Linked DNA regions of Caenorhabditis elegans. The protein of the gene in region 2 interacts with the protein of the main gene of each other region in a pairwise test. Each region holds a gene or a part of one and is shown on either strand. Other genes may lie near its edges.

The links.
Region 1: the proteins of Y38C1AA.7 (region 2) and wdfy-2 interact in a two-hybrid assay, tested with the Caenorhabditis elegans proteins (one large-scale study listed by BioGRID).
Region 3: the proteins of Y38C1AA.7 (region 2) and B0034.1 interact in a two-hybrid assay, tested with the Caenorhabditis elegans proteins (one large-scale study listed by BioGRID).

The regions. Positions count from the first base shown.
Region 1 is NC_003280.10:9,317,833-9,322,410, reverse strand, and holds wdfy-2 (WD repeat and FYVE domain-containing protein 2), read right to left. Parts: upstream 2,547-4,578; 5' UTR 2,534-2,546; coding exon 2,470-2,533; intron 2,399-2,469; coding exon 2,197-2,398; intron 2,142-2,196; coding exon 1,795-2,141; intron 1,624-1,794; coding exon 1,506-1,623; intron 1,386-1,505; coding exon 1,026-1,385; intron 980-1,025; coding exon 823-979; 3' UTR 533-822; downstream 1-532. Other genes in the region: Ras-related protein rab-39, read left to right, coding at 37-150, 200-343; csa-1 (WD_REPEATS_REGION domain-containing protein), read left to right, coding at 2,939-2,982, 3,263-3,409, 3,454-3,540, 3,585-3,818, 4,047-4,238, 4,294-4,578. UniProt on the Caenorhabditis elegans protein: Plays a role in coelomocyte endocytosis.
Region 2 is NC_003282.8:157,368-160,391, reverse strand, and holds Y38C1AA.7 (DUF7087 domain-containing protein), read right to left. Parts: upstream 1,431-3,024; 5' UTR 1,365-1,430; coding exon 1,284-1,364; intron 1,009-1,283; coding exon 610-1,008; 3' UTR 556-609; downstream 1-555. Other genes in the region: Y38C1AA.19 (RING-type domain-containing protein), read right to left, coding at 180-228; gegf-1 (EGF-like domain-containing protein), read left to right, coding at 2,502-2,637.
Region 3 is NC_003280.10:5,966,394-5,973,194, reverse strand, and holds B0034.1 (Glycine rich superfamily member), read right to left. Parts: upstream 4,700-6,801; 5' UTR 4,692-4,699; intron 4,655-4,691; coding exon of another isoform or gene 4,485-4,654; intron 4,438-4,484; coding exon of another isoform or gene 4,370-4,437; intron 4,326-4,369; coding exon of another isoform or gene 4,227-4,325; exon of another isoform or gene 4,226-4,226; intron 4,177-4,225; exon of another isoform or gene 3,664-4,176; intron 3,093-3,663; 5' UTR 3,085-3,092; coding exon 3,042-3,084; intron 2,231-3,041; coding exon 2,075-2,230; intron 1,599-2,074; coding exon 1,419-1,598; intron 1,220-1,418; coding exon 1,094-1,219; intron 992-1,093; coding exon 732-991; 3' UTR 533-731; downstream 1-532. Other genes in the region: B0034.5 (G-protein coupled receptors family 1 profile domain-containing protein), read left to right, coding at 1-73, 229-339; B0034.4 (uncharacterized protein), read left to right, coding at 4,227-4,325, 4,370-4,437, 4,485-4,654, 4,700-4,968, 5,016-5,060.

The DNA.
Region 1 (4,578 bases), on a different chromosome or scaffold from region 2:
AAAGTTGTGTTTAAAAAATTGGTTAAAAGCTTTCAGGTAAACTATGAGGAAGGCGAGTACTTTGCCAAGTACCATAAAATGAAGTTTATCGAGACGTCGTCGAGAACAGGAGACAATGTTAATGAAGCTTTTCATATGATTGCACAAGAGGTTTTTTTGAAAATGTTTCAATTTTATGATGTAATTTTCAAATTTTTAGATTCAAAATCGAGTCGACGACGGAGAACTGCGGCCCGTGGATGGCTGGGAAGGCCTTAAAACTGGTATTATGAGGTCACAATCCGTGTGCCTATCCGAAAGAAGTTTCCCTCAAAACAGCAGCGCAGGAGCTTGCGGATGTTGATAATTTCTCCTCAATTTTTTAATTTTCCCCGTAGTCATAATTTCGCGTAGCGTTCTTATAAACATCAAAAACTCAGCTATTTTGTGTACTTCCTGTGAGCTTTCTCCTTCATCCAGTGTCACCAACCTCACCTACTCTCCCGGCATGCATTCTTTTGAAATAATTTCTAGTCGTTCTGTCCAAAAACTTCAAAAAAAAAGATTTTTTTTCAAACTTTGTTGTAAAAATACAATTTTACAGTCGAAAAACTAGGAAATTATCGGGATTAGAAGAAAAGTAAGAATCACAATCACTATTCAGGACAACCTGTCAGGGGTATCGGGAAATATTGGTAAGTTTTAGAAGGTCTTGATTTGACAACAATTGGTCTTGGGGAAGGATGGGCATTTTGAGAGTGAATATACAAAATAGAAAGGAGAGGAAATAAATTAGATGAAATACAAAGAATTATGAGAAATTCGAGAAGTAGAAGCAATTGTTTATTGTGATCCAGAAGGGGCAGAGCAAACACTTCGAACATCCCAAATCATAATCACACGATTCTGTCCACTGGTAACTAGAAGTCCGAGAGTTTCCTGGAGATGCATAGCAGTGATTCCAGTATGGATTTCATGTGGAATTGCAAGTGGAGTAAGGCTAAAATTGAAAATAAGTTTCATCAGTCATTTGCTTTACAACTTACTTGAAATTCTGTGGATTATCTTTCATTCGTGCATTGCAGTCATTACAAATGCGAATTTTCGTCTCATATCCCATTGGTGGATAGGTGGTCCAGTTGTCACAGCAAGATCCACAGACTGCTGATCCACAGGTTCTGCAGTGATGTTGTCTCAATCCGACCACTTTCCTCTGCCACATTGCTTGAAGATTCCAGAAGAACGGTTGATTGCATTTCTGACAGCAATCCGAAGTTTTCCATTCAGGAGTCTCAACTCTCTTGCAATTCATGTCCCAGCACATGAGCTTTCCGTGTTCGTCAGCCGAGAACAGACGTTTGGCTGCTGGAGCTGCGCATAGTGTTGTCACTTTTCCATTGTGTCCGCTGAAAAAAACATTTTTTAATTTGGAAAAATCTATTTCAACTAAATATAATTCAACTTTTGCGCTCGAAAAACATCAACACTTTCGAAATATCACGTAAATTCCAGAAATATACACTCACTTAAGCTCATAAGCTTCTCCTCTTCCTCCTCCGATATCCCACATTATGATGAGATGATCACTGCTTCCAGAATACAAAACTTTCTTATTTCCGTCCCATGTGAGCGAGGTGATTGCATCTGAAAAATCATTGAACTAATTCAAACCACAATTACTAATTGTATTGATTGTGGGGAATTTCAGGAAATACTGGAATGTTATACTTAACAAATATTTTTCCTAGGCACGATAGCATTTAAAATTTCGAATTAATATTTTACTCAAAAAAAAAGAATACGATAAAAACTCACTCGTATGTGCACTAAGCTTGCTGACAAGATTTGGTTGATTATCGACAATACGAAGAACAGTGACATGCCCACCATGATCTCCAACGAATACAAATGGAAGATCAATGACCATTGCTGTACAACTATTTTCCAAAAGATAACTTCCCATCTTATTTGAATTTTCTGAACAATGCCAGACGATAGATTTATCTCGAGAACAGCTGAAAATGAGCTCGGAGGAGAGTGCAAAGCCGAGTCCAGAGATTGGTCCAGCGTGACATGTCCATTTTCGGGATTCTGTCATACTGTTAAAGTCATCGGCAACACTGAATTCATAGACATTTCCATTGATAAGTCCGACGAGCAGCCTGAATAAAAAAATTAAAAATTTAAAAAATAAAACGATTTAAACTTTAAACTAACTTATAAGTTTCTTCACTGTAATAAAGACTTGTTGGAGCAACTGGCATGAAATGATGAATTGACGGCCAAAATTGATCATTATCTCTTTTTAAGTACAGGCGAACGGATCTATCATCACTTGCAGTCCAGACTCCTTCGTCTTTTGATAGTAAAATGACGTCATTGATACGAGCCACGTGGCCAGTGATTCTGTGAAGAAGAGCTGAAAATTAAAATAAATTCGAAAATTACACAGGTTATGGAAATCAAATGGTTCGTTTTCAATTCACCAACCTGGTTTGGCTCCTCCCATACTTGATTCGCCCTGTTCGACGCGTTGATTGATTATTGCAGCCATAATGGCTGAAAATCTGAAAGAAAATCAAATTGAATGCCAATAAATGACACATAAAGTTTAGAGGACGGAATGCAGATGTTTAAAGCAAAAATCGATAAAACCACGTGTTCTCGCCCGTTTGTTTACACTTCTGCACCTTTTTTACTTTTGTTACTATTTCTGAACTAAATATTTCCTTGTGGAAATTGAAATTTTTATCAAACTAATTTTGCAACCGGTCTGGAAACAGATGAATCAGTGCCCGGTAAATAACGGAAAACCGGTGCGGCCGAGAATGAACTTGTTTGGTGGACTCTAGGCCATTGGCTGTTTTAAGGAGGATATTCAAATTAACAGCAACGTTTGAGCTTTTTATTTAATCGTAATATATTTATTCGCATGTTTCTATAATTTCTCAACAGGAAAATGACTGTTCGTCACGAGGAGTACATGTTCAGCTGTGATTTGAAGTGAGTTTTGCGGTTTTTATGTGAATTTCGTAATAATTTTGAAAAAAAAGTGCAAATGCATAATTAAAATTTAAAACAAACGAGAAAAATAGAGAAATTTAATGTTAAAATGCGCAAATAAAGAAAATAAATGACAGTACCGCAATTTTTTCAAGGCGCAAGAGTCAGAAAACCAGACGGGTCCCGCAACGACTTTAAACTTTTATGAATTTACAGGCCTAGATTTTCTTACTGTACTAATTTTTTTTAAAATTTGAGTTATATTTGAAATTTTTTGCAGAAAACGCCGAGTTTTCGAAGAACAACAAGTTTCACGGGCTCTTTTGAATTTTCGATGGACAAAACATATTCCTATGGGTTGTGATCAGACGGGGAAAGGCCATCAAGAAGATATTAGTGCGATTGATATAGATGATGGTGACCAAATGTTGGTTTAATTAGGAGTTTGTTTAAAAAAAATTGATTTTTCAGGCTACTATTTGGATCTCATAGTGGTTCAGTGTCAGTTGCCAAATATAAATACTTGGATCGTAAAAAGTGGAAGAAACCTATGACTCTGTATGTAACAACCGCAATAATTCTAAAATTTATCAAGATTTCAGAAAACTTGCGAAGCAATCTCTGAAAACAATAAAATGGTGTCCAATCGATCTTCGCCTTTTCATGGTTACAACAGCATCAAATTGGATGCGAGTTTGTGATAGTACCATGGAAAAAGTGGTTCATGGGAAACAATTTGAAGGAGATGTTTATTTTGATTGGAATGAGTATAATATGACAAATTCAAAAGTTGCCGTGGCAGATGGAGGGAGATCAATGAAAATTATAGATTTTAGGTAAGCTTTAAAAGTTCCACGAAATGCCTGCCTACGTGCCTGAAGGCTAGTGGATCTTGTATTGAACAAGAGCTATATTTTGTTATGACTGCCTAACTTTCTAAAACTTTGGTCTTACAATTTCCCCTGGTCGAACCTCTTGTCTTAAATTTTTATGAATTATTTCAAAATTTAAAATTTAATTAAAATTAATTAACATTTTATATTTCAAAATAAATATCATTTCAGAGTCGGAATGGATCTACCTCAATCGATATATTGGAATGATGAACCAATTGATGTTGTACAGTGGTATCCATCAAAACATCATTACTTATATGCAGGACGACGAGATGGAACAATTGGACTATTTGATATTCGGAGCACACGTGGAGCAATTGCTGAGAAATCTCTTCACAAATCACAAATTTATGGACTAAAGTACTTTATTTTCAAAACTTTAAATTGAAGGTATTCTAAATCTCATAAATTCCAGAATATCTGCCGATGGACATCGTCTCATCTCTGCCGATAGATCGGGGTACATTCATGTGGCAGATACGTGGGATTTCAGCACAAAATTTGATTTTTCCTGTGAATTCGATCCACTTATGCAGCGTCGTCCAAATTTGGAATTTATATATGAGAAGGATTTTTATGTGGCAACGAATTTTGAAAAACTGACGATCATTCGGTTTTCTGATAATGATAAATCAAGAAGAAATCCAGATTTTCGAGAAGTTGAAGCAAAAGTGTTGTGGGATAAGCCCTTCATTTTTCG
Region 2 (3,024 bases):
ATCATATAAAATCAGGAAAATTTTTTTGAATTTTTTTATTATGATATTCGGTCATTGTGGTACCATAGGCGTGTTTTAAAGCAATTTCCCCACTGGCGCTACTCCACCTTTAATGAAATATCTACAATATATTACCAAGTTTAATAAGTTAAACAAAACTTAATTAAATTGCTACTTACCGAAGAATTGTGAACACTTCACACAGAAAAATGTGCGACACAAAGACATGTCTACAGAAAATTACAAAATGCAAAAATGGTAAGCACCTACCATTTTATTGACGACTGATAAGGAGTCCGATAAGAAAATAACTTAGGAAAACTGAGGAAACTGAGAAATTCTGAATGGAAATTGACAATATTTTTTAGAATTGCTCGAAACTACGCGAGATGATATACGGCAAATCTTACGAAACGTGTTACGAAACTTCCTCTCTATTTCGGACAAGAATTCTTTAATACGCGGAAGTAGAAAAATATTTTGCTGACCTGTAACGTTTTTTTCAGGGAGCCTCTGTTCGATCTCAAGAAAATACAAAACAAAAATCTGAACGAGAATAATAATAAAAACTCCAATTTATTCCATTTATATCAGATTTATTTTCTTCGTCTATTGGGCTGGTGGAGCAGCAGCTGGATCCTGTGCTGACGGTGCAGCACCTCGTGCAGAACCTCCAGATTGTCCCTTCTTCAACTCATAAACCTCAATTCCGAGTTGTCCAACGGCGGCGAGCACATGGATGAGCACGAAAAGCGAGAAGAATGCATGTCCAGAGACACATAAGAAGACGAGGACACCGGAGAGCGCTGGCACCAGAATCAAGGCAGCAGACTTTCCACGAACTTCATTCTCTGACGATGAAAGAACCTTGTTGAGCTCCTCGCGACCATCCACGTTGAGACCAATGTTGTGAGCTGAGATGGCAACTGCTCCGCCAAGGAAGATGAAGTAGAAGAGCTTAGCAAGGAAGTTGCAATCTTCGAGGGAACCGAATAGGACCAACAGGAGCTGAAAATTATAAAGGTTTTAGATGAAAAAGGCTACATTTAGGGATGACCGGCAAACGGAAAATTCGGAATGCTGAAAATTGCCGAAAATGGAGTTTTCCGACAAACGGCAAAGCCGACAGATTGCCGTTTTCAAATTATCGGGAAATTCGGCGAACCGGCAATTACCCTTCATTGCCCACACAGAAAATCTTCTACGCTTGTATTAAAATCCCCAAGGAAAGACCTGGTCAGGGCGAGATCTTTACAAAACCTCCCAGAAATCCCCAAACATACCTCAAATGAAGCACAGACGATGACGGCACCACGGACGTAGAGCACGTACTTGTTGAACTCGTATGGTGGGATTTGATCCATTGTAGCTGCGAGAGATCGTTGTCGAGCGAGTAGAAAATCGGTGATGATTCGAGCAGAGACTGATTTGATTTCACATTTTTTCGAGCTTTTATACGGACGAAACTGGGGCAGATTAAACGTGGCGATAGGGAATTGTCGGGCCGATGCGTGAAATTATTTTATTTTTTGAAAACCCTTTAAAAAATTAAAAAATTGAAAATTATAACTTTTTTGTTTCACGGCCATTTTTGAATTCCTAGTTTTCTGCCATTTTCAGGAACTCTAGGACATATTAAACAATGTATTGGGTACGCTTTCATAGTTTAGTTTGTAGTTTGTAGTTTGCACTTCCGTAGCTTCAACTTTATAGATTTCAGTTGTTAGGAAAAGTTTTTGAAGTGGAGTTGCACGTTTCAGTCTCTTGTCTCAACTCTATAGTTATCAACTTCAGGTCTGTAGTTTGTAGTTTGTGGTTTGTAGTTTACAGTTTCTAATTTCTAATTGGTAGTATTCAATCTGTAACTCGCGTAACAGTTTTGGTTTAATTTGTTTAATCTGAAAATTCTAGATTGCATGGGTATAGTTTATAGTAATATTATATTTCGAAATCTGTGAAAATTGCAGTTTGTAGAATTGTAGTTTGTAGCTCACGAAATCACTTCCATCGGTTGGTTTTTTCCACAAGTTACTATTTTGTTACTGTTAAACACCAACAATTTACTAGCCGAAATGCTAGAAACTGGAACTTTTCGACAATTGTTCCTATTGTTCTGAACCATCTTCAGAACTACTTTAGCCATCAAGTATATAGCCTAACTAAAATACAATAAATCTGACCAAAAGAGTATCCTCGAAACAACCACCCCTCCTATTATATAATCATCTGGTTTTTTGGATCTCGCCGATTTCGACACGCTTCCTGACTTTTTTCCCTAATTTATCCCCCTAAAACCGGCCCACCCTCACGGGGCAAAGGTGGAATAGGGGCACAAAACTGTTACGTAACCACGCCAAATTGTTACTTTTGTGTTTGTGTCGTTATTTTTTTGTTTAGATTTTGTATTCTAATATGTATAGTGTTTTGGGAATAATATCTACCACTTTTTTGTCAATTGTCATCATGAAAAGTTCCAAGAAATCAACTTTCAGATAAAAAAAATGTTTGTTAAAACCTCCGCGACAATTTTTGGAATTTTCCTGGTCTTGGTCACGTGGATTCATGCCGAAAAAGTGCACGTGATTGAAGTGGACGATGTGGGAAATAAGACAATTTCAGGAGAAGTTGAAATTTCAGGTAAAATATATAATAAAGATGAGTTAAGAAAATATTAGAATTTTTTTAGAATTTTTTAGAAAACATTTTGGAAAGTCCCAGAAAGTTTTAGAAAGTTTCAGAATTTTTTTGGAATTTTCACAGTGCTCCAAAAAAATCCAAGAAGTATCAGAAAATTTCAGAATGTTCTAGTTTCTTAGGACAGTCCAGAAAGTTTTTAAAAAAAGTTCTCAACATTGCTAGAGACCACCTGGCAGTTTTTAGAAATTTTCAATAAACTTCAAAATATTTTAGAATCCTCTAGAACTTTATTAGATCCTCTTTTCTAATCGGGAAAATTTTAGAATCGTTTAGCTTCCAGAAACTTCTTCAAAAATTTTTATAGAAAATTTTTCAGAATCAGGTAAT
Region 3 (6,801 bases), on a different chromosome or scaffold from region 2:
GTACATGTTATCCGCTGATCTTTCTTCAGTTCTGGTAGTGACTGCTTGTGCACTTCGACTCCCAATATATATGGTAAGTGATTATAAATTTGAATTTGTCAGTTCGAAATTTTATTGTAACAATCCTCAAATTTACTGGCTGAAACGGGACGTTGCAAATGTTTTCAGATGTTTCTTTAGAGATATAAACTGTAACACAAAATCAACTCATACTTTTTTTCATTTCAGCTGTGCAATCCGGAGCTTCGAAGAGCTGTAAAAAAGTCATTCACTCATAAAAGCGAACATCAACAAAAGATGCATCAAACCTTTTCTCTGATTGCAAAGATTTTAGTTTAATAGTTTCAATTCTATGTATGTAATTCAATTGTTTTAACTGTGATTTGTAATTCCAAATGATCAACGGGTCATCGGTTTTTTTCACAATTGTGACTAAATTCTTATAAATATGTAAATTTCAAGTGTAAGCATGACGTCACATAAGATGTGATTCTTTCTGCGTAACAATACCATTTCATAGTTCACTGCGTATTTTTGTTGCTGGTCATAAAGATTTATTCATAAAGCTGTGATTCTGCAATTTTTTTGACAATTCAACTTAAATTATTCAAAAAGGGCAGCGTAAAAGATCAAGAACTATTTAAATATTTACAAAACCCGTAGAAAGGTCATGAAAATCTATGTAAGGGAATGTTTGAGAAAATATATAAAGATGGGAGAATTAAGATAATCTAGGCAAACTCTATAAGCCCTGGCAACTCTCGTGGTCGACTTGTTTGTGCCGTGAATAAATCCTCAGTGAACTCCTCTCTTGGCTCTTTATCGATACTGAACTCGACAGATTTTCTGGGGATTTCTCCATTGTTTGGCCCAATGAATTCAGTTTCAGAAGAGGAAGAGGATGATGAAGAAATTCCAGCTTCTCCTTCTTTTGGCCTCATTTCTCCAGTTACTTCTGGAATTTGTTCACCTTCTGGGAACCATGGGCGAGCTGAAAGAAAATTGTGTGAAAGGAATGTGAAACAAATTTAAAAAACATAGAGCTCCTGTTTTAACAAATCCCCACTGTTTCAATAAATATATAATCACATACGTCTATGTCTTCCTCCATTTTCACTTTCAGATCTTTCAGTACCAATTAAAGTTGGTGGACGAGTGACTCCCAATGAGAATGGAGGTGATGGAGGTGGTTGTTGAGGGGGCATTGGCATTCCACGACCTGTAATTTTTTATTTAAGATAGAAAAAGTTCCAGAGAAAGAAGAATTATAGATGTTCAAAGTTCATATGATGTACGTGTTAAACTTGAAATGGAAAACAAAGACATTGATGCTTGATCAAGATAACTTTATGAACAGATGATTTTCCTTTTGAACGATTAGCTTCTGCTTTCCAGAAAATTCCTATAGTCAAACTTACCCAAAAATGAGAAAAAGTTTTTGACATTATCCATAAAACTTCCAAACTGTCCGGCTGGATGACCAGGATTTGGCTCATTTCCAAATTGCACCTGACTTCCCATTTCAACACCTTCACGTCCTCCACCAATTCCCCCATCAACTCCAACACGTTGTCCGCCGACAAGAGCTCCATTATTAGCTGAAAAAGGAAATTATTGAATATTACATCAAAGGCAAAATACAGTAAATTTAAATGAAAATTATTAATGAAAAGAAAGTTAGATTGAGAAGTCCATACTGTTAAAAAATGTTATAATTATAAATAAAAAAAATAATTATATCTAACTAATAGTAAGATTGTTAAATTTTTAATAATTAATACATGCTAAATCAATTATAAAAATAAAAGTTGGGTACAACTTAAAAATAACTTCGCATATAAAGTAATGGGAAGTCTTCAAAACCTTGGTTTGAATCTAATAGTAAGCCAGTAATCAACACATTTTCAAAAGAAAACTGTAATGACTCGGTCATCTTTCGAGCAGTAGGAGCTATTCAACATATAACAATTTACCGATTGGGCATGCAGCCAGGCCTACGTTATTAAATCTGTACACGAAGAGTTCTTAGTCTTTAGAGTTTTGCAATTTTGTTGTTAAAAGTGTTAATACTCACATCCCAAAGCAAATCCAGCTCTGTTACCAGCTAAATTAAAGCTACGATCACCTCCAAATCCTAAAATATTTGCTCCTTGTCCCATTCCCATGTCGAAGCCGCCATTGTTCTGCTGAGGATGGAGAAAGAATGATCCGAGATTTATTTGAGAAGAGCCTGTAAAATTGAATAATACGAGTGAATTATAGTGAGGTCAATAGTTAATTTCAATAGTAAATTTTTGTATTATTGATCTAACTCTTTAGTTTAAAGCTGAAAAACCATAATTTTACTTATAGGGTGATAAAATGGATGAATACCGTATTGAAAAATATTTAAAAAAAACTGAAATTTTTCCTTTACAGATAGAGTCAAAAAGTGGAAATTGATTTCTATTACTTTTGACCACACATGATTTTGGAAGCCGATCAAAGAAAATTTGCAAATAATTTCGATTTTAATTTTTTGCGATCCTAATTCGAACGTTGTAAGTTTCTGAATATGCAGCATTTCTCAAAAAAAAATGCAGCATTTCTCAAAAATTTGGTGATTTTCCTTGTGCTTCAGAAGCTTCAGAAAGCTTCAGAAGATCTTGTTTCAATGATTTTTAAAATACACACACACTCCCCATTAGCCATCATATGAGACCCACCCGCCAAACTGTCTGCTTCACCCGTTTACCCCCTTTTCTGATCATGTGTTTTGTCCTCTGTTACGGTCATCTATTCATTACACACATACAACATTTTTGCCTCCTTTTTGAATTCTTTATTCCATTGTTCAAAGAGTGCCTGACTCATTACAACCTCGTTTATACTTTCAAACAAATGAATTTCTTGTCACTCTCAAATTGGGAAGGTGTGGGTGGTTTCAGAGATTAACAAGGAAAAGCATCATTAAGTGTATAACGTGACTGTTGTTGTCTTAAAAGTGATGTCAGAGTGAAGACAATAGTGATTCGGGAGGAAAATTATATGAAGATACGTACCTTGTTTGATTGATAACAGTAGTATTAGAAGTGTTGATTTCATTCTTGATGCTGAAAATGTTCAACTTTAAATTTTAATACTTTTAATATGTAACAGCAAAATTGAAAACCTAGAAAATAAGATAACAGTTTTAGAAAAACTACATAATATTCTATAGTTTCAAAATTTTCAAATTTAGATTTCAGATGCAAAAAAATTGACTCAGAAAAATGAAATTCTAAAATAACTTCAATTGTAAAATAGAAAGAATTTTACTTTAAAAAAATTTGAATCTTTTAATCAGTTAATTTGGACTGAAGTCAAAGCATTGAAACGATTCAAAACTATAACTGAAAAGTCAGCCAATTTTATGAGCGAAATGAAATTGAAAGGAAAAAGTTATACTAGTATCTGTACTAAATAAGATGAAAGTAGTATAAATTGAAAGAAATCACTTTCAGTTGGACGAAGAAGCGAGAAAAAAATGTAGAAGAGCGGTTTGGTCACTTTTATGAAAAGTATTCGCTATGAAACCATGTAACGAAACAAGGCGGACCGAAGGAATTGACCTTGGTCACCTCGTATTCTCGAAAATGATGGACGATACAAACTGAAACTGATTGAAGGCTGTGAAAGGGGCAGAGAAGAAGAGAATGACTGCCCTCCCCTGCTACTACTTCTGATGCCATTTTACACCTATTGTATTGTTGGCCCCAATTTGCATTTACAAACAACGAGATTGAAAAGGAATTTGAAATGAGGAGAAGAAGGTGGAGATAGATGACTTGGAGGCTGGATGTTTGGGAGACTAAAAACACCAGGTTTCACACTTTTTTTTGCTGATTCTAGAATGATGGGAAATAGAATATGATTAGTAAACAAGATCGTTTGTTAAAAAAAAGTCCAAGGAAGGTATGCCCATTGGTTTTTTTATGCTAAGATTTATTTAATCAATCTGATTCTATTAACAATGTTAAAGTTGAAACCATGTTCAATATTTTTTTTTTGAGCATTAAAAATATCCATATTCACCGTGAAAACTAAAAAGCTAACACTAAGATTTTTTTTGCTCGTTTCTTTCTACACGTGAAGGGAACAAATCCAGAAAAGCCATCATTTTGTAAAATTACGAAGTCACTTTTGATAGTTTCGTATGTGAGTTAAATTTTCTTGTTTTCTTAAGAAATACACTTGGCAATTACAGAATGTTATCTCTAACAGCTCATTTGGTTTTAATTAGCACAATCATCGTCAAATGTTCTGCTTTCTCCAAAAAGCCCAGCGAGAGAGCCAAGCCTGCAGCCGTAAGTAGCTATTATGATTTGAGATTCAAAAATAATGTTTTTAGGTGAAAAAAGCTGTGGAAGATAAGCAACCAGTGAAAGTGACAGCTTTCGAACAAGCTTCTTTGAACGAGTGAGTTATCTGAAATGTGAGCGCTCAACAAATCTTAATATTTTTAGAGACAAGGCTGAGGCGATGTCAAATATTGAGCCATCTCCCAAGATCTCAAACTCCACCGTGCCTACAGCTCCTACTCCAAAGAAGGAAAAGAAGGTGGTGGCCACAACCAAAAAAACGGAAAGATCTGTAGCTCAGGGACCACCGCTAGTTTCGGAACATATTAAAGATGGTAAGAATTAAAAAACAAGTATGAAATAATTAGTTACCGTTTCAGAGAAGAAAATGCCATCGGTTCATAAGCCAATTCGAAAAGGATCGATTTACGCGAATGAATTATTGACTGAAAAACCATTGACTGACACTGAACCAGAACTTCATCCAGACAATCATGTTGTGAAGGCCAAATCGCCAAAACCAGTTGCTCGAACTCCAACTGCACGCCATCGTAATGCTCTGAAACCAGGAAAAATCAATGATAAAAGTGATGATACACTTCATGATGCTCCATCGATTCAGAAAGTAGGAGGTCCCAGTTATGAAGATGTGAGTGATTTGTTGATATTCAAAATAAAAAATAAAAATAGTTACAGGCAGCTTCTGTCAACGAAAAAGAAAAAGATGTCAATCCGAAATGAATCAACGAAGGAATGAGCTCGAATAAAAATGTATTGCCCTTTGAATACGATTAAGTCAATAAAATGTTTGCTGTATTCTTGTTGTAAATCTCATTGATTTCTCGTGGTTAAAAATAAATTCTAACTTCGAGAATCGATTGAAGAACTCATAACTCACAATCAGATCGAAAAGGAGGCTACAGTTTCGGGAATCAGCTTTCAAAAATCGGAAGGCGACGATGGTGGCGTCTCCCATAACAGCATCAACCTAACCAATTGGCAAACAGTAAAAATCTAAAATATATTTGTAACTGTTCTCCCAGTTGGTCCCCAGAAACAACCAAGAGGTGAGCTACCATGATGAACATTGCGAAGCAAGATAAATAGTGAAAATATGAGATTATTAGAATATTATTCATTTATTTCCATCTTTCCATGTTTCTGTCTCACATACACACTTCAGTCATCACCGATTATCCATTTGAGAGCACATTTATGCTTTGACGCTTCACGATGTTATCCTAAATGGCAGGGCCATCTGTCATCGGTTCATGCTCATATTGGCTCAAGTTGCGAGAGAGAAATATGGTGTTTGATGATCGGTGTATGTGTTATTCGACTCATGTTTTAATAGTTAGTCGTGATTGAATGAAAAGTTTAAAAATAATGTTTCAAAATCAGATTGATATCTTCGATGGGTATTTGACATTCAGTAATTATAGGTTAGAAAAATTATTCACATTATTTTTTTCAAATGGAGTTTCAAAATAATGGCCACACAAAAGCTATTTATATATATATACAATTTAAATCGTCTTCTGAGAAATTTTAATAATAGTAAGTTGCGCCGAGTTTAACACAAAAATCAGAAAATTAAAATTTAAAATCAATTGAATTGGAAAATACAACAATTTAAAAAAAAAATCTTCTGAAAAACCACACAATACATATTCGAGACCTATATCCAATTAAAACTTAAGAGGTTTTGCTTTGATGTTTACCACTTCTTCTATTCAAATCTCAGCGTAACTCTGTCAATCACACATTTCCCGATTACGTAACTTTGTCATTTTTTGAATGATGTAGATAATAGTCATCTGCAGGAACAATTTCCACCCTCAACAAATGCAATAAAATGAAATATGACCTCTTTTGATGAAGAAAAAGTGGAAGATCAAGTGTCTCGAATTTCTCGAAAAACAATCCAATCAAACTAAAATTTTCCACATCCGACCTTCGCAGGAATTTGAAAAAACAAATGAGGTCCTCGGGGTCTCCCATAGCAACTCACTCTGCGTCTCTTCCTCTCACGCACTGTCTCCCCAATATTTCGTAACTCTTGTCTGCGTCTCGTGCTCTCTACTTCTGACATCCGGAGCCGTCGGTCCATGCGTGCGCGAATTCGTATGTCTGGGCACTCTTTCTCCTCTTCCAAAGCCATGAAACCTTTTCCCATTTGTCCTTTCTTTCCATTTGGTCTCTTTGGTGGTCCCTTTTCTTATATATCCTTCAAATTGTAGTATTTGTTGTTAAGATTGATCTGAAGCTTTCCAAAAATGTTGCAAGTTATGTTTTCAATTGATACATATTTTTGTTTGAGTTGTTTTGAACATTTTTGGGGAAAGAAAGCTTTTTCCTCTGACGATAAATTTGTGTTCTGAAAAATCTTAAACCCTTTGTAAAAAATTTAAATAATTATATAATGACAACCATTTGCTGTTTTCTTTTCGGAATTAAGTTAGATATTTCTGTAAATAACATA